Rhinolophus ferrumequinum: one gene and its partners. The main gene of each other region encodes a partner of the protein of the gene in region 2 in a complex. Links are inferred from orthologs where the notes say so. Each region holds a gene or a part of one and is shown on either strand. Other genes may lie near its edges. The genes, in order: LAMTOR5, FLCN and LAMTOR2.

What was found.
Region 1: FLCN (region 2) and LAMTOR5 share a complex: the UniProt entries of both Homo sapiens proteins name them as parts of the lysosomal folliculin complex. The link is inferred for Rhinolophus ferrumequinum from reciprocal best matches to the Homo sapiens genes FLCN and LAMTOR5.
Region 3: FLCN (region 2) and LAMTOR2 share a complex: the UniProt entries of both Homo sapiens proteins name them as parts of the lysosomal folliculin complex. The link is inferred for Rhinolophus ferrumequinum from reciprocal best matches to the Homo sapiens genes FLCN and LAMTOR2.

The regions. Positions count from the first base shown.
Region 1 is NC_046305.1:42,347,356-42,351,101, reverse strand, and holds the start of LAMTOR5 (ragulator complex protein LAMTOR5), read left to right. Parts: upstream 1-1,477; 5' UTR 1,478-1,591; coding exon 1,592-1,626; exon of another isoform or gene 1,627-1,693; intron 1,694-2,466; coding exon 2,467-2,528; intron 2,529-3,746. UniProt on the Homo sapiens protein: As part of the Ragulator complex it is involved in amino acid sensing and activation of mTORC1, a signaling complex promoting cell growth in response to growth factors, energy levels, and amino acids.
Region 2 is NC_046304.1:1,500,885-1,504,630, reverse strand, and holds the start of FLCN (folliculin), read right to left. Parts: upstream 2,967-3,746; 5' UTR 2,564-2,966; coding exon 2,450-2,563; intron 2,389-2,449; exon of another isoform or gene 1,455-2,388; intron 1-1,454. UniProt on the Homo sapiens protein: Multi-functional protein, involved in both the cellular response to amino acid availability and in the regulation of glycolysis.
Region 3 is NC_046305.1:672,756-676,501, forward strand, and holds the start of LAMTOR2 (ragulator complex protein LAMTOR2), read left to right. Parts: upstream 1-1,447; 5' UTR 1,448-1,558; coding exon 1,559-1,626; intron 1,627-1,920; coding exon 1,921-2,083; intron 2,084-3,647; coding exon 3,648-3,737; intron 3,738-3,746. Other genes in the region: UBQLN4 (ubiquilin-4), read right to left, coding at 301-408. UniProt on the Homo sapiens protein: As part of the Ragulator complex it is involved in amino acid sensing and activation of mTORC1, a signaling complex promoting cell growth in response to growth factors, energy levels, and amino acids.

The DNA of each region.
Region 1 (3,746 bases), on a different chromosome or scaffold from region 2:
TCCTTAATCACTGATCTGGCTTTGAGATCATCAGAAATAGCCTGGAGCTGCATTGGCCAATATGGTAGCCATACTGGCACACGTGGCTATTGAGCACCTGAAAGGTGGTGAGTCTGAATTGAAATGTGCTCGGTGGAAAAATATATGCTGGATTTTTAAGACACGAGACGGGAGCGAGGGTGTGGGGAGGGAGGGCGGGGTTGTAAAATATCTTAGTATTATGTTTTAAATTGATTACATGTTGAAATGATATTTTGGACATATTATTTGGATAAATAAAATATATTATTAAAATTAATTTCACCTTTTACTTTTTAGTGGGCCAGGCCACCTAGGACCACAAGGGGGCGGTACTGCAGTGCTCAGCTGCCTCCCGCAGGACTTTGGCGGGAAGCAGGCTCGCTCCCTTCATCTTCTAATACTGTTTTCTAAGCGTAGTTTTAAACTGATTTTTCTAAAATTTAAATGGTCCATATTATGTTGTCCTAAGTTAACATAACTAATTTCTCCAGGGCAGGTGTCCAAAACTTCTGAATCAAAACATTCAAGACTGGAATTTTAAGGGCTGCAAATTTCACTACCACGGGTAGGGACAGAACTATATAAGCAAAATCCACAAGCAACCCAACTCATATTAATAAAGGGCTGGCTAAATCAAGGTACAGCTGTAACTGTAACTATTTTGCAACTATTACAAAAGATGTATATGAATACTTATCGACATGCAAAGACAGTTATGCTAAATTCTGTAAAAATGGACAGCTACAGAATTGTGTCCAGTATGTATATCAACTTTGCTTAAAAAAAAATTAAACTCATACATTTGCAGACAATGGGCTGAAAGGATATTCTCCAAGGGATTAATAGTCATCTTGACGGAGGCTATGGGTGGCTTTCTTTCCTTATTTTTATAACTGGTTTCATAATTAATTTTTTAAAGTTATTTTTAAGTTGTCCTACCCAGTCTTCTTTCCCAGATTCACCTGAGCCCTCGCCAAAGGAAGAACCAATGTCTTCGTTAAAATCCCAACATTTTCCCAATACCTAACTGGGGTTTTCACCTTGTCCCATCTCGTCCTCTTTCTAGCTCCTTGGGCATGTCGTTTCCCCTCCAAGCCTGCGGACCCTTTCACCGGGCCCCTGTGTCTTTTCTCCGTCCCTGCCCCACCGCCAGGTTACGGTAAAACGAATACAAGGATCCGCCGACGTTTCGGAGTCGGTTGAGTCGGAATCCAAAGGTCACATCCCTAAAACAAAGTGGCTGGCCAGGAACCGAGGCTCTGATGACCAGCTGCAGACCTCTCTCCTGCGGGGGAAAACCTGCGCCACCTGGTTCCGGACGGAGCCCGGCGCAGGTCCCCTCACTTGTCACCAAGCGGGCAGCAGCACCCGGGCCCAGCTCGGGCGGCGGGAACCGAGGGAGCGCTCCCAGCACACAACGCGGAGGTTGCGCCGCGAAGTTTGGCCCTTCGGAGGCGCCGTCCCAGCCCGCGTCGCGCTTGTGTCATGTGATCGGGAAGTGCTGGCGGCCAGTGGCGGAGGAAGCAGCGACTACCTGCGGCGTCCGGGCCCGGGTTGGACGGCTGGCGACATGGAGGCGACCTTGGAGCAGCACTTGGAGGACACGTGAGTGACACGGCTTCTGCGGCTTGCCCTGAGGTCGCGGCGGAGAGACTTGAGCGGGACAAAGGGTGTAAGTTGCGAGTGCCAGCCGGGCGGCAAGGGGACGCCGCGCGACCCCCAGGCAACGGGGGCAGGTGGTGAACTGTGTCCCGAGGCCGCAGGGGAGCCGGTAACCCGGAATTCAAGTCCCGCCCGGACTCCGTGTGCTCCCTCCGGAGCGAGTCTCCGCGGCCAGAGCCCGAGGCTGAACCGCCCGTCACGTGGAAATTGTGTCTGGTCAGGGTTGTTGGCAGTTTCAGGAAATGGGTCCATCTGGAGGAAGGGTGTGTAGTACCGTCTGTGCGGACGAGCCTTGCAGCGTAAACATAAACACACAAGCGCTTGTGCTTCCGTGTTTAACCAGTCACTGGGTGCCCGAGGTAAAGGACATCCCTTCAGTTTTTCGGACGAGGACTCTCCACGTAAAACCCCAAATAAGGAGGCGCACAGGGAGACACCTCCTTCGCACCAGTGCCCCCCGGCAGCCCAGCTCCTCTCCGGGAGGCAGCTATTTTAAGTGAGTTAACATGCTAACGCATGTATTTTTAACAAGGGCAGCAAAATCCTAGCTAATGAAATGTTTGTGGCCACTAAAGCTCCCTGACAGTCTTTCATCGGAGAGAAACGGGTGTCATATTTAAATTAGTTCATTATAATTTTCCTCGGGGTGGGGGGTAATAATGGAGAAAGGTTGAGAAACACTGATTTAAAGCACTGAGACCACAAGGCCTGGTACTTAGAAAGCCTGTCTGTGTTATTGTAGTTATTTAAATTCATTTTCTTACATCATGTTCCTGGCATTAGAATGAAGAATCCATCCATTGTTGGAGTCCTGTGCACAGATTCACAAGGACTTAATCTGGGCTGTAAGTATCTCCACGGCAACCCTTCGGTGGGTGGCACAGCACTCGTGTTGAGTAGGAGTCTAGTGTGCTGTTCTTCTCTAGTTTTTATTTCCTGTCATCCTGCCACTTTCTAGGTACTTTTCTGAAAGTCGCGATTACTCCAAATAACGAGATTAGAAAACTGAAATGTATGAAGGTAGAACTGTGCCTTGCAGTGCTAGTACTGCACGGTGGTTTCTACGAAAATAGTGTTTCACTAATTTTACATTGGTGCTAGAAAGGACCTCAGATAATGACAGCAGTTACATGTGTTAAATGTGTGCCATATGCTCGGACTGCTAGGCTTTGTATATTGATATCTAATTTTTTAATACTCCTGCAAGATGGGTAGGGCCAGTTTTTAGTCCAACCACACATAACAATAAGTGAGTAGGCAGTAAAAACGGCTTCCGAGTTGGACCCAGCTGGGTTCAACCTCCAGTTCTTCCGTTTACTAGTAGTATGAACTTGGACCAAAAAGAGCCTTTCTAAGCCTCAGTTTCTTTACTGGGTAGTTGTTTAATAATAATAATAACTAAATTGCATTTGGTGAGTTTTTACTGTTTCAGGCACCATTCTAAATGCTTTACATGTACTAAGTCATTTCATCCTAAGGTAGATAATAAGGCAATGATTGAACTGGGATTTGAGTCTGGCTCCTAAGTCTCTTCCTCACACTACTGTAAGATTATTTAATATGTGTAAAACAGCAAAGAACCCAGACATCATGCTCAATAAATGGTAACAATTACAGATGAGGAAATAAATCCAGAAAGGTTAATAACTAAAGCATTCAGCTGGTTAATGTCAGAACTAGTAAGCCCAGGGTTCCTTATTCTTCTTTATTGCAGGACTTTTTAAAGCTCTGAATTTTTGCTGGGAGGGTGACTGAAAGAGGTAATCTGTGTAACTTAGGTTTTACACACAAATCAGGAGAAAAAAGGCAGATTTTGGGGTGAAGTGGGGGTTGCTTGCCAGGCTCACTAATGGAAAGGCTGAAATTCAAGTGAGGAAATAAACTAAATGAGTTCCTTTAAGAAACTTCCAAGGCCTGCAAGTCTGCACTGTGTCCAGTTAATGTTTTATATAATAATGAATCTGTCAACTCTGCCGTAGTGACATGTCTATTACCAGACATAGTTGCAGGCAGGTAGGCTTGTGTTGCCCTTATATGTGGAAATGTATTGTAAAACTTGGTAA
Region 2 (3,746 bases):
TGCAGATTTGGGGTACCCCTCCAGGCCATGGGAAGACCCTGAATTTTTTTCAGAGATTGGAGAGCCTTTGGTGGGTTCTGATGAGAAACATGATACATTGGAATCTTATTTTAAAAGGATCATTCTGGCTGCTGTGCAGGAAAGAGACTTTGGAGCCAGGGCAGAAGCAGGGAAACCAGCTGTGGCGTTCCCACTGCCTTTCGGGAGAAGAGACGGTGGCCTGGGCTAGGGTGGGCGGTGGGAGGTGGTAAGGGACAGTCAGACTGTGACGCTGTTCCCATAGCAGAGCCAGCACTGCTCAGGGGTGGGGCGGGAGCGTAAAGACGGGAGCAAAGCTAAAGGAATGTGGGCAGCAGGAGAAGAACAAGTGAGGGGCAGGGCAAGAGGCAGTGCCTGCTGGGCCTCCACAGGAGCTGATGGAATCTGGGGGCAGAGCGGAGGGGGGCGGGCAGTCCTGGGGGGGATGGGAGCACCTCGATGGGGTCTGGGGCCCTCCAGAGCTTAGATGTGAGGGAGAGAAAGAGCTGGCAAGGGGGACAGAGAACGAAAGACAGTGAAGCAAACTCGGGTTACTCCAGAGACAAAGTGAGCAAAACAGAATCACGGGAGAGGCCGAGTCCTGGAGGAGGTCGTGGGGGCTGGGCCTGGGCAGCAAGTCAGCAGCTTGTCCGTCGCTGAGGGAGGGGATGGGGACGCAGACACGAGTGCCCTCTGGTCGGGAAAATCGGGCAAGGCTTTCCAGGTGGGAACATGTCCACGCGGCTGACAGGCAGGAGAGGTCCGGAAATGAGAGAACCCAGGAGCAAAGCCATAGATGTAGGACAGTGGCAGCCCAGCTGGCCTGACCCGTGTGACACAGAAGGGCCTGAAAGCCAAGCTAAAAAGGGAACGTGTATTCTCTAGACCCATGTTGTCCAATCCAGTAACCATGAGTCATGTGGCAACTTACATGTAAGTAAAATGAAAAGCCCCTTTCCTCAGTCTCACTGGTCACACGTGGCTCAGTCACCATTTTAAAAGGCCAGTGCAGATCATGGAACATGTGCATCATCACAGAAAGTTCTATCGGACAGCCTTGCTCAAAACAATGGGGAATCATTTAAGTTTCGGAATGTCTGAGGAGTGGACAGTGGCCAGGTTCTAAACCCTCTTCTCCTATGGGGACCCCATCCCCCGTTGTGGAGCCAAAGATCACAATCCTCTGTCCTCACCCCGTAAGCAGCACGGGCACGGCCGTGGCGCGGCCAGTCACAGGTGCCTGTCTGGGACGCTGAACCTCGAGAAAGGAGGCAAAGCAGCAGCCAGTGTGAACACGCACAGCAGGGATGGGGTGTCCCCTGGCGGACAGCACCCTCAAAATCTATTTGCACTGTGTCCCTGGATGTGCCTCCGGGCAGCCTCCCTGCTGCTGGCCCTGCTCACAGCCTAGCCTGCCTGCCCCCTGTGCCACCCACCTGATGTTTTGCAATCAACCTCTCAGCTGATGTGGGCAGGGGCTGACACTCAAGTGGTTACAGCAGGAATGGCAGAGGCCGGCACAGAACAGACATATGAAGAGAATGGCAGGTGTGCTGACAGCAAGTCAGGCCTAGCGATCAGACATGGGGAGACGGGTGGCTGGCAGGTACGGAAACCCGGGGCATGGGTAGATTGTTCTGCAGGAGGTGGGCAGTGGGAGAGAAGACAGAGTTTAAGAGCTGGGAGAACATGGGGTTGAAAGCCCTGCGAGTTCCGTGGAGATTCTGGACCGCAGGATCAGAGAAGGCAGGCCTGGAGAGAAAGGCCCTGAACACCCCCCACGGCCTTCTCCTGCCTCGCCCCTCCTCACCAGTCTGCGTCTCCTTGCGCGTCCCCTTCTAGGAGAAGCTCCCGGTCAGCCCACCCAGAAGAGCTGTCACCTCCCACTTCCAGCCCACCACTCGATGCCCGCCCCGCTGGATTCCAGTGGGATGAACGTCCCCAAGGGAGAGGCTTTGTGTTGTCTACAGCAGCTCCCAACACACGGGAAGGACCAAATCACTAGGCGTTGGAGAAACGAGGGAATTTAGAAGCTGCCCACAGAGAGATGACAGTTGTTGCCACAGAAGTGGAGAGCTCATCAAGGGTATCGACAGGCAGGAGAGGTTCAAAAACGCAACCCTGGGGAACCCGAGTCCAGGAGCCTCGTGTCACCAGAACCAAATAAACCAAATTGACAGAAAGGTTCCACGGGGCTCCTTACAGGGAGGTCAAGGAAAATAATGGTTTCAAATCCACTGTGGAAGAGGCGGTGAGGCAACCACTGAGGGAATAAGAACCTTGAAGACAGGTATTGGGACTCAAACTAAAGGCAGAGGAGTTCACCCTGGACAAGGGGCCACGTCTCCCTCGGAGAAACAAAGAAGAGAAATAAAGACGGCTTCGGGCAAGACGTCCACATGAAAGCAGCCCTGGGCCCAGGTCACCCCACCTGCAGCGCATCCATACGAACTTCTATCCTCAGCAGAACCACGTCCCTCATCCTGCCTCGGCTAGTGCATGCAAGGCCATTTCCAACTGAGTCAAGGAGGACAACGGCAGCCATACTTCAGCTCTAAGACCTGACATTTTCTAGGTAAAGAAAAAAAACCAGAGCTAATTCTAAGGGCAATGCACTTTGTGGCATGAAAAAAAGTTCAAGCAGCTTACAGCCAACCTCAAATTAGAGCAACACAAAAGAGGATTTGGGGGTTCCAGTGGTTCTGCATGGCTTAGCAGGCCTTTCTCTTTTGAGCAGTAGCTGACAGCAGGCTGACACTGCACACAAAGCCTTGACTGAAGTTACACCTCTATAGCAGTACTTCATAAAGGCTCTCTTGAAACATAGTTATATTTAAATATTTTTGTTAAATATGAAACATAAAAAAGTACAATGTAAGTCCTACTTTTGGTTATAAGGCAGTGGGGTACTCTAAATAACAATTAGCTCCGGAGTCCCACAGACCTTCTGCTCCCACAGACCTTCTGCGTTGGACAAAAGCCTGTCTCCAGCCCTTACCAGCCACATGATGTCAACACGTTACTTTACCTCTCTGAGCACCACCCTAAAGCTGAGAAACAGAGGGCCAAACCCCACCTCTCAGTTAGTGGAATCAAAATTCTGGGCAGCATGAGGTCACTTCTTTATTCATGCTCCCATTCCTGAAAAAAAACAATCTGGTTTGCGTATGCCTAACAGTTCTTCCTTTCCAACAAGCTTTCCAGAATATAAGGAAGAAGCAGAAACCTTCACCCATCCAACATTATACTCAAAGCAAGTTCTCAAATACCTAGAAGCAGCAGCGTCCTTCTTCGTGTCCGGCTCCCACAGTGGCTGAGCCTGACCTGGACGCTGATGTCCCAACCGTCCTCCCACTTCTGTGGTGCGTCCCCCCCCACCCCCCCTCTGCACCTATTTAAATCCCCACTTCCTGTGGTCTTCTCACAAGACCACAGAGGATTAAAGATAACAGTTAAGTATGAATACTCTGCAATTAACTGAGGTATTAAAATGGCTCTTAACCAGTGGTCTGCATCAGAATCCCCTGCAGCTTCTCTAACTAGTCTCCCACAGGGGAGCCTGTTGGGATTCCAGCAAGCCAAGGTGGAAAGTTCCACAGGGGATTACTTCCTGCTCAGACCCACTCACAGGGTGGCTCTACTCTATCTACCGACTTCACTTGGATTTCTGTTTACAGAGCTCCCTGACGTATAACACTGGAAGAGCCAACAGTTTCACATGCTACTTG
Region 3 (3,746 bases), on a different chromosome or scaffold from region 2:
GCGCAAGCCCAGGGTCCTTCCCCTTCCCTGCGCAAGGTGTCCCCCTCCCCTCTCTCCACCACGCCCCCAGTCCAGGCCACAAGGCAAACCCCGGCCTCCCTTCCCCAACACGCGTGCCATGCTCCTCCAACTTACCCTCGCAGGACGCCCCTGACCCGCCTCTCCTCCCTTCTCGCTCCTCCGAGTGCCGTCTGGGCCCCCGCCCTCCTCTCCCAGGCCCTTCTTTGCGCCCGGCAGTCCCGAGCCACCCCCCTCTCTTCGCGGACCCCTCCTCCGCGCTCCCCCCGACGACCGTAGTACCTCCTTGACCGAGGCTCGATCGCAGATCACAATTTCCTCCTTGTCCTTGGGGGTCTTGACGGTGACCCGAATGGGGGGCCTCGTCTCAGCCCCGCTCGGCTCCGCCATGCCGCCGCCGCCACCCGGCCGCCCGCCAGCCCGCTCCGGCTCCTCCTCCTCCCCGCCCGCCCCGCCGGCCCGGCTAGGCTCCGGCGCCTCCAACACTCCCCTCTCCTCCCCTCCCCTCCCCAAGGCTTCACCGCCCCCTCCGGACCAGCCGCAGCCACAGCGCCCCGGGCGGACTGGGGGGGCCACTGCAGCAGTGTCCGCCCAGGGCCGAGCCTGGGGTCCCGCAGCCTGGTCTGGGCCTCGCTGGGCGGCGGCCCCTGGGGCGCTCGGGACGGGGGCGGGGCGAGTCCCTCACTGCTGGGGTGAGGGGCGAGCGCCCCACGGGAGACCACAGCCCATCCGAGCGGGCCAGAGCTGAGCCGAGGTCCCCTCCGACCCAAAACAGCTCCTGCCCCCACCACGGGTCACTCCCGCTGCGGGACAAAGGACTCTGTGTCGCCGCTTTATCTCCGTCCCCTGCGATAGCTGGTCTTTTATTGAGAAGCCCAAATCCTTCTCGGGCCTGGGGCCTCTGCCGACTGGTAGGATGAATTTTCCCACTTCTGGACGTCCACCTAAAATCTCATCTCTAGAATTGATTTCATTCCCCCGAGGATCGTGGCCTGAATGAACTCTATTAGGTACTGTTCCAGCGACCTGGGTTTTGCCTGCATGGCCTTCCCGAGCCTTAGTTTCCTCAATAGTATCTATGGCTTCATCACCCAGAATTGTGCATAATGTAGAAAATTGCTTTGAAAAGCAACCAAAGGTGTGCCTAACAAACACAGGGATTTTATTTTTTTATTTTTTTAATTACTGAGTCGTGGATTGTCAAGCGGACATGACTTTTCTCTCCCCGAGGGGGTTAAATGTCCTTCCAATACCGCCAATGTCCTTTCACTCCCGCTCTTTTCCCCCACAACCGCGTGGTCTCAGTGGAAAGGCGAACTATCGTTCCCAGGATGCCTCACGAGGCCTCAAGGAACTACAATTCCCAGTGCCCTCCGCGGTAAAGCGGGGTTGAGTCAAAACTACAAAACCAGGCGGAGAAACTACAACTCCCAGGGCGTTCCGGAGCAGGTCAGCTGAACTACCGGAAAGGGCTGGCGGAGGCCCGCAGGAGGCAGTTCGGAGGTCTGGGTGCAAAAACCCAGGTTTGGGAGCTGCAGGCATGCTACGTCCCAAGGCTTTGACCCAGGTGCTGAGCCAAGCCAACACTGGAGGTGTCCAGAGCACCCTGTGAGTGCGGACCGAGGACCCGAGCGACGAGCACTGGAGTCGGGCAGCGCGCGGCTCTCCGAGGGAGGGGTGGGGAAACATCTCCGGGAAGGGAGGAGGCAGAGTGGGCAGCCGCCTTGGAGGGCCCCTCTCGAAAGGGGAAAGCGACGGCCTGGGTGCTCTGGGCACCTTCTAGGACACACTCAACCTAGACCCTTGCTTTCTAGAAGCGCCAGTGGCGGGAGCTGGGATGGGAACCCAGGACTCTTACTCCCCATCCTGAGCACGTCGCTGCCCCTTCCGGTTCCTCGCCAGGCTGCTGAATAACGAGGGATCTCTGCTGGCTTACTCTGGTTACGGGGATACTGACGCCCGGGTTACCGCCGCCATCGCCAGTAACATCTGGGCCGCCTACGACCGGAACGGGAACCAAGCGTTTAATGAAGACAATCTCAAATTCATCCTCATGGACTGCATGGTATGGAGTGGGAAGCCACTTCCTCTGTCCCCCAAAGGGATCCCCGGGGCGACCTGGACCCGGTCCCGGATGGTTGGAGGGGCAGGATCTCGGGAAGATTGCTAAGAGTTGGCCCGCAGCACCATTTATCATAGGCAGAACCCTGTGCATCACAGTGGTGAGGAAGGGGCCCTGGACCCCGGGTCTGCCTGGGGTTCTGGTCTCAGCCAGCCACTTACCGTCTGTGGAACCTTGGGTAAGTTACTTAACCTCTCTGAGCTTCCTTATCTCCTCTCTGAGGTGGAAACAATAAACCCCGGTCCCCACCTCAAGGGGCTGTGGTGAAGATCAACTAACAGAGTGGATGTAAACTGTAGAGTGAGGTACACACAAAGTGCTGTCATGCCAGAGTCACTGACTCACAGGCCTATAAGAGTCTCCAGACCCTTGTCTAATCCCTTGAGGAAGGAAAAAATATGTAAGTTAAAAAAATAGTATGTTAGATTTCTAAAAACGCTATGGAGAAAAATAAAGCAAGGAATTGAGATAAGGGTGGCATGCGCCAGGGATAATCTCACTGAACAGGTGACATTTCATCACAGATTTGAAAGAAGTTGGCAAGCCATGTGGCTGTCTGGGGCATAAACATTTCTGATGGAGAGAACAGCAAGTGCAAAGGCCCTGAGGCAGAAAGGTGCCTGGTCACAGATCGACAAGGGAGATGTGGCTGGAGTGGCATGAGAATGGGGGGAGGATGATAGATGATGCCAGACAGGCAGTACATGGTTCCTAGCACACACTGGATACCTAGTGAAAGTTTGCTGAACCGAATTGAGAAGGCCGCAAGAATGAAGGGTTTCCACTGTACTCAGCTACCTACCACTTCCTGGCCCCCATTCCAGCCAAGGATGCATTCCAGTTCAGCCGATGACTCCTGGGTGCCCAGCTCAGACCTAGTGCTATAGGGCAATAGCTTTCAAACATTTGACCACAGCCCAGCTGTAAGAAACACATTTGATGCTGGAGCCCCGTGCAAACAATCACTCGCTCAAACAAGTTCCCTGACTACATGCAATGCATTTCTCTTCATTTCTCTTCTTTTCCTTCCTTTTTTCTTTCGATGCTAATCAACCTTCTTAATTAATCTCCTAACCCGGACGTCGGGTGTGCAGTTTGAAACACATTGCCATTGGAAAAGAGAACTAGGAGTGGGGTTTCTGCTCTCAAGCCTCTTATAGTGTCTTGGAGGTGAACCCATAATAATAACATAGCCCATTAGAAGAGCCCGGAATTCCTTCCCGTGTGCTAGTACCCTCAGCAACTGGGATGAGGTAGGGGTTACAGAAAGAGAACCGAGTTTCTGGGAGATTGAGTTTTCTGGGGTGACTTGGTTCGTGGCTGTGCTGAGGCTGGAATCTGGGCACAGGACCCCATGTCCAGGGCTGTGGCCAAAGCCCCCAGCTGAAGCTCCAACCCTGCCCGGGGCGTGGAAGGAAGATACAGTCTGTCTCACGAGGAGCCCGTGGGGAAAGGGGGCTTAGGGTGCCAAGCAGGGCCTCCCATCCCACGATGTCACCCCCACCAGGAGGGCCGTGTGGCCATCACGCGAGTGGCCAACCTACTGCTGTGTATGTATGCCAAGGAGACCGTCGGCTTCGGGATGCTCAAGGCCAAGGTATGTGTG